Linked DNA regions of Saccharomyces cerevisiae S288C. Changing the gene in region 3 together with the main gene of any one other region gives a genetic interaction. Each region holds a gene or a part of one and is shown on either strand. Other genes may lie near its edges.

Region 1 (3,916 bases), on a different chromosome or scaffold from region 3:
GTTCAAAGCCAAAGGAAGACGTGACCATTCTTAACAGTGCAACGAAAGACAGCCTCAATATAGAGTTAGACAAAATAATAATATAGTAATTTAACATAGTTTAATATAAAAATAAGTAAAAAAATAATAATACTAATAATAATAGTAATGATAATAGTAATAAAAGAAAATAAAGAAAAATTGCATTTCGTTAATAATAATAGTGTAGACTTATCATTTTTCCACTAATTCAAATCCTTCACATCTTATTATTATCTCCTTTTTTTTATATTTTTTTTATGTTTCTTATGCTTTTTCGCGGTTTGTTGCACTAAAGGGAATTATTTGTGTATATGACGAGTGATGATTGCATCTTCCTTTGTTTTCTTGATGTTTCTTTCGTATTCTTCGCTTAAAGAATTGACTAAAAGTTTTCTACGTTTATGTTTCTTGTATTTTTCTTCTACTACTCTTCTTGTTAATAAGTATTTTCCTTTTTAAACTTTGATTTAGGACGTGAATCTATTTATTTTTTCTTTCTACCCCCAGCTTGCCTTGGTAGACTTTTTTGGGCTGGCTTTAAAATTTGAAAAGAACATAATAAACTTTCATCAACACTCATCATTGCACCAGCGTTATCAAATTCACCACAATAATTCGGAGCACTGAAAAGTGTCACCAATTGTCTTTTACTAAAGAATTCATAACCATCTTCCACAACTTGATGGGCCCTGCAAATCAACTCCATATCTTGTTTCTGTAAAAATCTGTTCACTACATCAGGACCAAAAGTGAAAGAAACACCTCTATCATTTTCACTCCAACCTACGATATCTTTATCTGGATCTGACCACAATAAGTCACATAATAAGCCAACGTCGGGAATATCTGTTGGCCTCATCACCCTTCTGATCTGTTCCATACTATTCAAATCTGGTGAGAGACCACCATGCATACAGAAGATTTTCTCATCAATAATTGCAGCAATTGGTAAACAATTGAAACAATCCGTGAAAGTTTTCCAAAGTTTGATATTATAACGTCTCTTACATTCATCATAAAACCCGTAAATTCTATTAATGGAAGCACATTCATGGTTCCCTCTTAAAATGAAAAAGTTTTCTGGATACTTAATTTTGTAAGCCAGTAATAGACAAATAGTCTCTAAGGATTGTTTACCACGGTCGACATAATCACCCAAAAATAGATAATTAGATTCTGGCGGGAATCCACCGTACTCAAATAGACGTAGTAAATCATAGTATTGCCCATGAATGTCACCACATATCTAAAAAAAAAAAAAATAGAAAAAAATAAGTTAGTAAATGAATTTGTCACTAAATCTAGCTCATTCCGTTGACTTTAAGAGAACAATTACTGCTGTCAAAAACGCTTCATTTCTCCCAATGCCTTCTGCAAATCCACATTTCTTGGTTTTCGTCCGACCTTTCTCTCGGGCTCAAAAAAAAAAAAGATTCGTTTTCTTCATAACGAAAAAATGCCTTCTTTTTTTAGTGTGAGCAAGGGGGATTTTTCTGAATATGGGAGGCGCCGGCCGGATGATGATACAAAACATAAGGAAATCTTGGTAAAAAAATGCCTAATAAGATAGAAAAATGAAGAGCTAAACACACACATTATCTCGGCTATCTCGACATATGAGTAGGCTAACATCAGATGCTTGGTAAATTCTTTCAGTCAAACGGAAATAACTGCTGTAACTATCTTACTGCCGCAACAGGAGTAGAACACATAAAACACCTGAAGCTCTAGGCATTCTATCTCTTGACTGCGAAGTTCAACATTAACATACTTTAATTGGGGCTTCTAACTCTAGTAAAATGGGTTGCTTTATGAATATAGATCTGGCTTTCGAACATAAGTATCTGATTTCATTTTCTTCTAGATCAACTTGTTGACCAGGTTTAGATCCTCTTACTTCCAATAATCTATCGATGATATTATCAACGTCAACTGGTTGTGAGTCCATTTCTTTAATTTGAATGTATATTGTGGTAATCTGCTTTCCTCTCCCCAGTTACTCGTTCGTTCACCTCTTATTTTTTTTTTCAGTTGTGGTGTTAACTTGTGTTACGTTGTTTTTTTCTTCTTCTTTTCTACTTTTGATTTTTTTTTCCCTCTCTTGTTCCTTGAAACGAACGCTAAAAGAAAAAACAGCAAGAGCAAGAAAAAAAATGGGGGAAGAGCGAATAAGCAATGATTGTTATCTACATAAGGGGTAATTTGGCTAGTTTCTAACTGTCATCCCCATGCAGCCTGTCAAAGACTGATATATGCAGTCAAGAAATAAAAAACAAATTGCAATAAGCTCTCCACTATAGATGGCACAAAAACAGGTTAATAACAAGTAGTTATTACATTCCTCAACGAGATGAGCCAACAAGCAACCAATAGTGCACCTACTTGTCTAACTTTAATTGAGGTTGTGCTCACAAGAAATGTTTTGCCAGGTATCTACCTCAATTGAATAACAACCGCAAAAGCTTTAGTACTAAATTGTCTCTCACCTTGTCTTCAAGAAAAGGGGAAGGTAGATGAGAGAGAAGTCTTGCAATTTTTCTCAACCTTTCAACTCGAATGGAAATCAGGTTGTAAGGGAAGCAATGAAATGTCAGCAAACAGCCACTGACTGTAATTCTTTTGTTGGAGTAAAAATCAACTATCATCTACTAACTAGTATTTACGTTACTAGTATATTATCATATACGGTGTTAGAAGATGACGCAAATGATGAGAAATAGTCATCTAAATTAGTGGAAGCTGAAACGCAAGGATTGATAATGTAATAGGATCAATGAATATTAACATATAAAATGATGATAATAATATTTATAGAATTGTGTAGAATTGCAGATTCCCTTTTATGGATTCCTAAATCCTCGAGGAGAACTTCTAGTACTTTCTACATACCTAATATTATTGCCTTATTAAAAATGGAATCCCAACAATTATCTCAAAATTCACCCACTCTTCATCTTTGAAAAGATAATGTATGATTATGCTTTCACTCATATTTATACAGAAACTTGATGTTTTCTTTCGAGTATATACAAGGTGATTACATGTACGTTTGAAGTACAACTCTAGATTTTGTAGTGCCCTCTTGGGCTAGCGGTAAAGGTGCGCATTTTTTCACACCCTACAATGTTCTGTTCAAAAGATTTTGGTCAAACGCTGTAGAAGTGAAAGTTGGTGCGCATGTTTCGGCGTTCGAAACTTCTCCGCAGTGAAAGATAAATGATCTACTATGATGAATGACATTAGCGTGAACAATCTCTGATACAAAATCGAAAGATTTTAGGATTAGAAAAACTTATGTTGCCTTCCTTCTGAAATTTATTTTTTGTCACTATTGTTATGTAAAATGCCACCTCTGACAGTATGGAACGCAAACTTCTGTCTAGTGGATAACAGAATTTTTCTATGGCCAATTTATTCTTTTTTTTTTCCCTTTTCTTAATGTGCGTATCATTGCCGGGTTTGAAATTTCGAAATTAACTACTAAAAATTACCGCTTTAATGTATGGAATATGTGTATCTTGCTAGTTTTGCGTTGCCCTCGCGATATCCCTATACGCCCACAGTGCAAACACAGTAGAGCTTTGTGATAATACTCGCAAGGAATACAGTACATCAAAAACTTATTACACAGGCTTTCCAGTGCACTCACACCCACTTTACTGTTTTTTCTGCTTTTTTTCTGCTTTTTTTTCTTTTTCTTTTTTTCATCTTACTTACTTGAGCCTAGATAATAGAAGATAGTAAGTTTGGCAGAGCCCAGTCACAAATACAGATTAACCTCTAACAAAGTCCACATCGACACCGTTTCCAACTTGATATCATAAACTTTGGATATTGTATTAAAGTTACCAGTATCACTTTTAACAAATTTTTTTTTTTTTTTGGCTATGCTCAT
Region 2 (3,577 bases), on a different chromosome or scaffold from region 3:
TATCTAATTTTTTCCTTCCCACGTCCGCGGGAATCTGTGTATATTACTGCATCTAGATATATGTTATCTTATCTTGGCGCGTACATTTAATTTTCAACGTATTCTATAAGAAATTGCGGGAGTTTTTTTCATGTAGATGATACTGACTGCACGCAAATATAGGCATGATTTATAGGCATGATTTGATGGCTGTACCGATAGGAACGCTAAGAGTAACTTCAGAATCGTTATCCTGGCGGAAAAAATTCATTTGTAAACTTTAAAAAAAAAAGCCAATATCCCCAAAATTATTAAGAGCGCCTCCATTATTAACTAAAATTTCACTCAGCATCCACAATGTATCAGGTATCTACTACAGATATTACATGTGGCGAAAAAGACAAGAACAATGCAATAGCGCATCAAGAAAAAACACAAAGCTTTCAATCAATGAATCGAAAATGTCATTAAAATAGTATATAAATTGAAACTAAGTCATAAAGCTATAAAAAGAAAATTTATTTAAATGCAAGATTTAAAGTAAATTCACTTAAGCCTTGGCAACGTGTTCAACCAAGTCGACAACTCTGGTAGAGTAACCGTATTCGTTGTCGTACCAGGAGACCAACTTGACGAACTTTGGAGACAATTGGATACCAGCGGAAGCATCGAAGATGGAAGAGTGAGAGTCACCCAAGAAGTCAGAGGAGACAACAGCGTCTTCGGTGTAACCCAAAACACCCTTCAACTTACCTTCAGCGGCAGCCTTAACAACCTTCTTGATTTCATCGTAGGTGGTTTCCTTGTTCAACTTGACAGTCAAGTCAACAACGGAGACATCGACGGTTGGGACTCTGAAAGCCATACCGGTCAACTTACCTTGCAATTCTGGCAAGACCTTACCGACAGCCTTAGCAGCACCGGTGGAGGATGGGATGATGTTACCGGAAGCGGTTCTACCACCTCTCCAGTCCTTGTGGGATGGACCGTCAACAGTCTTTTGAGTAGCAGTCAAAGAGTGGACAGTGGTCATCAAACCTTCTTCAATACCGAAAGCATCGTTGATAACCTTGGCCAATGGAGCCAAACAGTTGGTGGTACAAGAAGCGTTGGAAACAATCTTCAAGTCAGAAGTGTATTTTTCTTCGTTAACACCCATGACGAACATTGGGGCGGTGGAAGATGGAGCAGTGATAACAACCTTCTTGGCACCAGCGTCAATGTGCTTTTGAGCAGTGTCTAATTCCTTGAAAACACCAGTGGAGTCAATGGCGATGTCAACGTTGGAAGAACCCCATGGCAAGTTAGCTGGGTCTCTTTCTTGGTAAGTAGCAATCTTCTTACCATCGACAATGATGTGCTTGTCATCGTGGGAAACTTCACCAGCGTATCTACCGTGAGTGGAGTCGTACTTGAACATGTAAGCAGCGTAGTCGTTGGTGATGAATGGGTCGTTCAAAGCAACAACTTCGACGTTTGGTCTAGACAAAGCAATTCTCATGACCAATCTACCGATTCTACCGAAACCGTTAATAGCAACTCTAACCATTTTGTTTGTTTATGTGTGTTTATTCGAAACTAAGTTCTTGGTGTTTTAAAACTAAAAAAAAGACTAACTATAAAAGTAGAATTTAAGAAGTTTAAGAAATAGATTTACAGAATTACAATCAATACCTACCGTCTTTATATACTTATTAGTCAAGTAGGGGAATAATTTCAGGGAACTGGTTTCAACCTTTTTTTTCAGCTTTTTCCAAATCAGAGAGAGCAGAAGGTAATAGAAGGTGTAAGAAAATGAGATAGATACATGCGTGGGTCAATTGCCTTGTGTCATCATTTACTCCAGGCAGGTTGCATCACTCCATTGAGGTTGTGCCCGTTTTTTGCCTGTTTGTGCCCCTGTTCTCTGTAGTTGCGCTAAGAGAATGGACCTATGAACTGATGGTTGGTGAAGAAAACAATATTTTGGTGCTGGGATTCTTTTTTTTTCTGGATGCCAGCTTAAAAAGCGGGCTCCATTATATTTAGTGGATGCCAGGAATAAACTGTTCACCCAGACACCTACGATGTTATATATTCTGTGTAACCCGCCCCCTATTTTGGGCATGTACGGGTTACAGCAGAATTAAAAGGCTAATTTTTTGACTAAATAAAGTTAGGAAAATCACTACTATTAATTATTTACGTATTCTTTGAAATGGCAGTATTGATAATGATAAACTCGAACTGAAAAAGCGTGTTTTTTATTCAAAATGATTCTAACTCCCTTACGTAATCAAGGAATCTTTTTGCCTTGGCCTCCGCGTCATTAAACTTCTTGTTGTTGACGCTAACATTCAACGCTAGTATATATTCGTTTTTTTCAGGTAAGTTCTTTTCAACGGGTCTTACTGATGAGGCAGTCGCGTCTGAACCTGTTAAGAGGTCAAATATGTCTTCTTGACCGTACGTGTCTTGCATGTTATTAGCTTTGGGAATTTGCATCAAGTCATAGGAAAATTTAAATCTTGGCTCTCTTGGGCTCAAGGTGACAAGGTCCTCGAAAATAGGGTCAAAGTATTTCGAATTTGTGTCCATTAGTGGTGTTCCGTGTGAGAACTGGTAAGCTTCTTTCATGAAAGAGTTCAATGATTCACTCAGTTTGTCAAACGGAATAGAGGCGGGAGCATGGAACACTAATTGCTCTTCAAATTCTACAGGAGTAATCTTTGGCTTGTCGGCAGCTTTTGTTTGAGCTTGCTCGGCTATTTTTGGTTTGAGCTGTATAGGTTTAATGTTCGATAAATCGAGACGTTCGTTCTTCTTGATAAATTCTGTTACCTTGTTAACCGAATCTTGTGGTATTTTCCCTAGGTATGCTAGCACATCACCCTTTAATAGTCTACCGTTGGAACCAGATGGCGCAATTTCCTTCAAAGCCTTTTGTTTGGATATATTGTTCTCAGCCAGTAGTAATGACACGGATGGTAATAGCGTCTGTTCAAGATTGGCTTGGCTGCCGTCAACGGTTTTTATTGGTGTAACTGTGGCTTTTTTTAAATGTTGTTGTGTTGCTTCAGTACTATCTGCGGATGGCTTCTTAATTTCAATAGATTTCGCATTTGCGGTGTTGGCCTCTTGGGGTAACTTTATAGTAGCTAAATCATCATCAACATCAGCAATATAAGCAATAGGTTCACCAACATCAACATCTTTAGAGCCTTCATCTTTCAGGATCTTAGCTAGTTTACCATCGTCCAGTGCTTCCACATCAATTTGAGATTTATCTGTTTCCACTTCTAATATCACATCGCCCGCGCTGAATGGTTCGCCAACTTTATATTTCCAAGACACAATCCCCCCTTTCTCCATAGTAGGAGACATTGCAGGCATTGAAAATGTCTTTACAGCAAGTAATTTAGCTGATGCATGATAGTTGCATTTGGTTAAATATCTTGTACATGATTTTAAAGTGGAGACTTTGGAAATTGCACTTAGCATTTTTGAATTTTTCCCTCGAGATGATTTAACAATAACCTAGCTCTTTCAATGCTCTCTTATATTCTCACTGGAAAGCGCTAATTTGATTTGTCTCTCTCGTTGCTGGTCGCTCACCCTT
Region 3 (3,109 bases):
TTATTTAAGATCACACAGGCAGAAATCAAGGGATTAGAAGCTCCATGGATTTCCCTATCATTAGCTCCGGAAACTTTGACCAAGGGTAACTCGGGTGTCGTGGCATGTGGGTCCAACAATGGTCTTCTGGCAGTAATTAATTGTAACAATGGCGGTGCGATTTTACATTTATCTACAGTGATTGAACTAAAGCCAGAACAAGACGAATTAGATGCCTCCATTGAATCCATTTCTTGGTCATCCAAATTCTCCCTTATGGCCATTGGCCTTGTCTGCGGTGAAATACTCTTATATGATACAAGTGCATGGAGAGTAAGACACAAGTTTGTTCTCGAAGATTCTGTTACAAAACTTATGTTTGATAATGATGACTTATTCGCATCGTGTATCAATGGTAAGGTTTACCAGTTTAATGCAAGAACTGGCCAAGAGAAGTTTGTTTGTGTGGGCCATAATATGGGGGTTCTTGATTTTATATTACTGCATCCTGTGGCAAATACCGGCACCGAGCAGAAGAGAAAAGTAATAACTGCAGGTGATGAAGGTGTATCTCTGGTGTTCGAGGTACCAAACTGATAGATAGTCGCGTATACATAAATAACAAAAAAACAAATTCAATAACATAAAATAAAAATACTTTTACATACAGAAGAAGAAACTTTATATATTCGACAAAGGAAAATGTAAAAAAAAAAAACACATTATTTTAAAAGAACTGCGCTCATTATCGTCGTTAACGATTTTATTATTACATGTTGAACGTTACATTGTCTTTTTGTCCCGATAGGTTGAAAGCTGAAAAAGTATAATGGGTCAGAATCTGACAGTTCCGGTAAGTTCTTTGGGGATCCTTCTCTTAGTCCCGGTACCTTTAATTTGCTCCATGTATCTTTTAGCAGCTGCTCTACCGAAGCGCAGAATCAATTTTCTAAAAAACAACCCACAAGCATTACACAGGCAAGCAGCACCGTTAGGGCCCTCCCTCCATTGTAATGAAGTCTTAATCTCTCCACATTGCCCACATGTCCTAGTAATGCCCGTTCTTGGTCGAGCAGGCTGAGAGTCAGCGTTCCTAGGGAGGCCATGTTGTGCCTCTGATCCGCTATTCAACAGCAATTGAACGGGGACTTTTTTGAAGGCTGTTCCGTTTGAAATCACAATAGGCAACTTAGTGGACATAGCGACCCTGTAATGTTATGTTTCTAGCTAGGAACAGAAAGTGCCAGCTTTTTGAGCAGTTAAAGAGTAAAATGTTTATGTGGTTTCACGGACTTACATGTGAAAGACTAGCCTGGCGCTATCTAAATTCATGATGAAACTCGATGGCCCTTTCCATGGCACAAAAATCTTGACACATGGATGTGCGCGGCGGCGGTAACCGCACCAAGGAAAAAAGGGTCCAATGCCAAGAAATAATAAAACGGACCCTTTTTTCTTTTTTTTTGAAATAAAATTGAAAGAGAAATGCAAACACTTTTCAGGTTTGAAAAGAAAAGAAAACGTCAAGAATCTTACGCCAAAAGTGCCTAAGATTCAAGTATCTCTGAAAGGCGTACCATTTTCAACAAGGGGCATAGGTGGCCGCAAACTAGGATAATTGACAACTTAGTTTCATATTGACAATGTCATCGCAATTGAGGAGATAGCCATAATTCGGGAGGGTACAAAACCTGACCTGCTAGTGTTCAACTAATGCATCATGGGTACTATAGAGAGCATTCTAGTGGTAGAAAAAAAAAAAAAAACAAACTTTAAACCGGGTAATATAAACTTCTCATATGGCTTTTCTCCAGGGAAAGAAAGGGAAGGGATACTTCAATGACGAAGGCTTAGATGACAAGCTAATACAGAAAGGGAAAGGAGCAGGGCATCGGAAGGAAATGTTGCATTTGGAAGATGACAATGGACGACAAAGGTCAGTGATAGCGAATTTGCAGAAATTCGTTTATTGCTGCCTGTACTTGAGGTTTATCAAAGATGGATCATTATTCTTGATCCTCCTGGGGTGGATAATTTCATCGCTCTGTGATTTCATTCAGGAATTGACACTCAGGTACCTGAAGAAGAACTATTTAGAGGTGGGCCGCGACAATGATCAGGAAGATGATGAAAGTCTTGCCATCAGAGGGTTAGAAACACCTATTGTAAGAATGATAATAAACAAAGCCATACGATATTACCAAGGCCTAATACTTCTAGAAACAGCGTACTGTATAGTATACCACATTAGGCTAGACGTATCGAGAGACATATGTTCCAAACCGTACGGATTTGTGATAATGCTTTTGATAAGGGAATTTACTTGTCCGGTACCCACAGCGTTTCCTAGCAAGCTACTTCTGGTACTACTCGATATTTTATTACTTTTCTGCCAGATTGTAATAATAAACGGCTCACTGAGCTCGAGTCTTCAGAACGTGAAACTTATTGTCAAGGAGTTGAATGCAGAAGAAGAGGGCGCACTCAACATTCTCAAACTTAATACCTGGCACATGGATGCAACCGGACCGGAACTCATAGTACTCAAGAATCATGACAAGTCGATTCCTCAACAGGCAGACGGGGATGACGCTACAGAGATCACTCCTCTACTGAATATCGCCGAATAAATTCAAGAAAGGAAAAGAAAAAAAATTACCAAAATGAAAAGAACGGAAAAAAAAGATGAACAGAAAATAAAACAATACGTGGTTCTTCTACTGTCCTTCCCACATCGCCGACAGAGAAAAGACAAGCAAAAAGATGGGCAAGAAAGCACACGGAGGAAAGATGAAACCTGAGATCGACGAAAATGGTACTCTGCTAGTACCGCCACCAAGGACGATTGCGAACCAGGACCATTTCCATAGATTAAACTACCTCTACCAAATATCCGCTTACCAAACAAGAGCAAGACAGAAAGCAAGAACAGACGCACATACGCCTTTGGCACGCAATTATATCAAATCAATGGACCTAATTAGTAAGAAAACCAAGACATCACTGCTTCCTACGATAAAGAGAACAATTTGTAAAAAATGCCATCGGTTGTTATGGACCCCAAAAAAACTGGAAATCACATCCGACGGAGCGCTTTCGGTAATGTGTGGGTGCGGTACCGTTAAACGTT

What was found.
Region 1: mutations in VLD1 (region 3) and GLC7 are lethal when combined (synthetic lethality), as found in Saccharomyces cerevisiae (one study listed by BioGRID).
Region 2: of VLD1 (region 3) and TDH3, changing one enhances a phenotype caused by changing the other (phenotypic enhancement), as found in Saccharomyces cerevisiae (2 studies listed by BioGRID).

The regions. Positions count from the first base shown.
Region 1 is NC_001137.3:430,548-434,463, reverse strand, and holds GLC7 (type 1 serine/threonine-protein phosphatase catalytic subunit GLC7), read right to left. Parts: upstream 1,970-3,916; coding exon 1,793-1,969; intron 1,268-1,792; coding exon 506-1,267; downstream 1-505.
Region 2 is NC_001139.9:882,283-885,859, forward strand, and holds TDH3 (glyceraldehyde-3-phosphate dehydrogenase (phosphorylating) TDH3), read right to left. Parts: upstream 1,529-3,577; coding exon 530-1,528; downstream 1-529. Other genes in the region: PDX1 (Pdx1p), read right to left, coding at 2,227-3,459. UniProt on the Saccharomyces cerevisiae protein: Glyceraldehyde-3-phosphate dehydrogenase (GAPDH) involved in glycolysis and gluconeogenesis. Catalyzes the reaction of glyceraldehyde-3-phosphate to 1,3 bis-phosphoglycerate.
Region 3 is NC_001141.2:379,206-382,314, forward strand, and holds VLD1 (Vld1p), read left to right. Parts: upstream 1-1,880; coding exon 1,881-2,609; downstream 2,610-3,109. Other genes in the region: SQT1 (Sqt1p), read left to right, coding at 1-576; GAT4 (Gat4p), read right to left, coding at 814-1,179; ribonuclease P protein subunit RPR2, read left to right, coding at 2,743-3,109. UniProt on the Saccharomyces cerevisiae protein: Component of the vacuole-localized DSC E3 ubiquitin ligase complex involved in the targeting of the complex to the vacuole membrane via the AP3 pathway to ubiquinate vacuolar membrane proteins.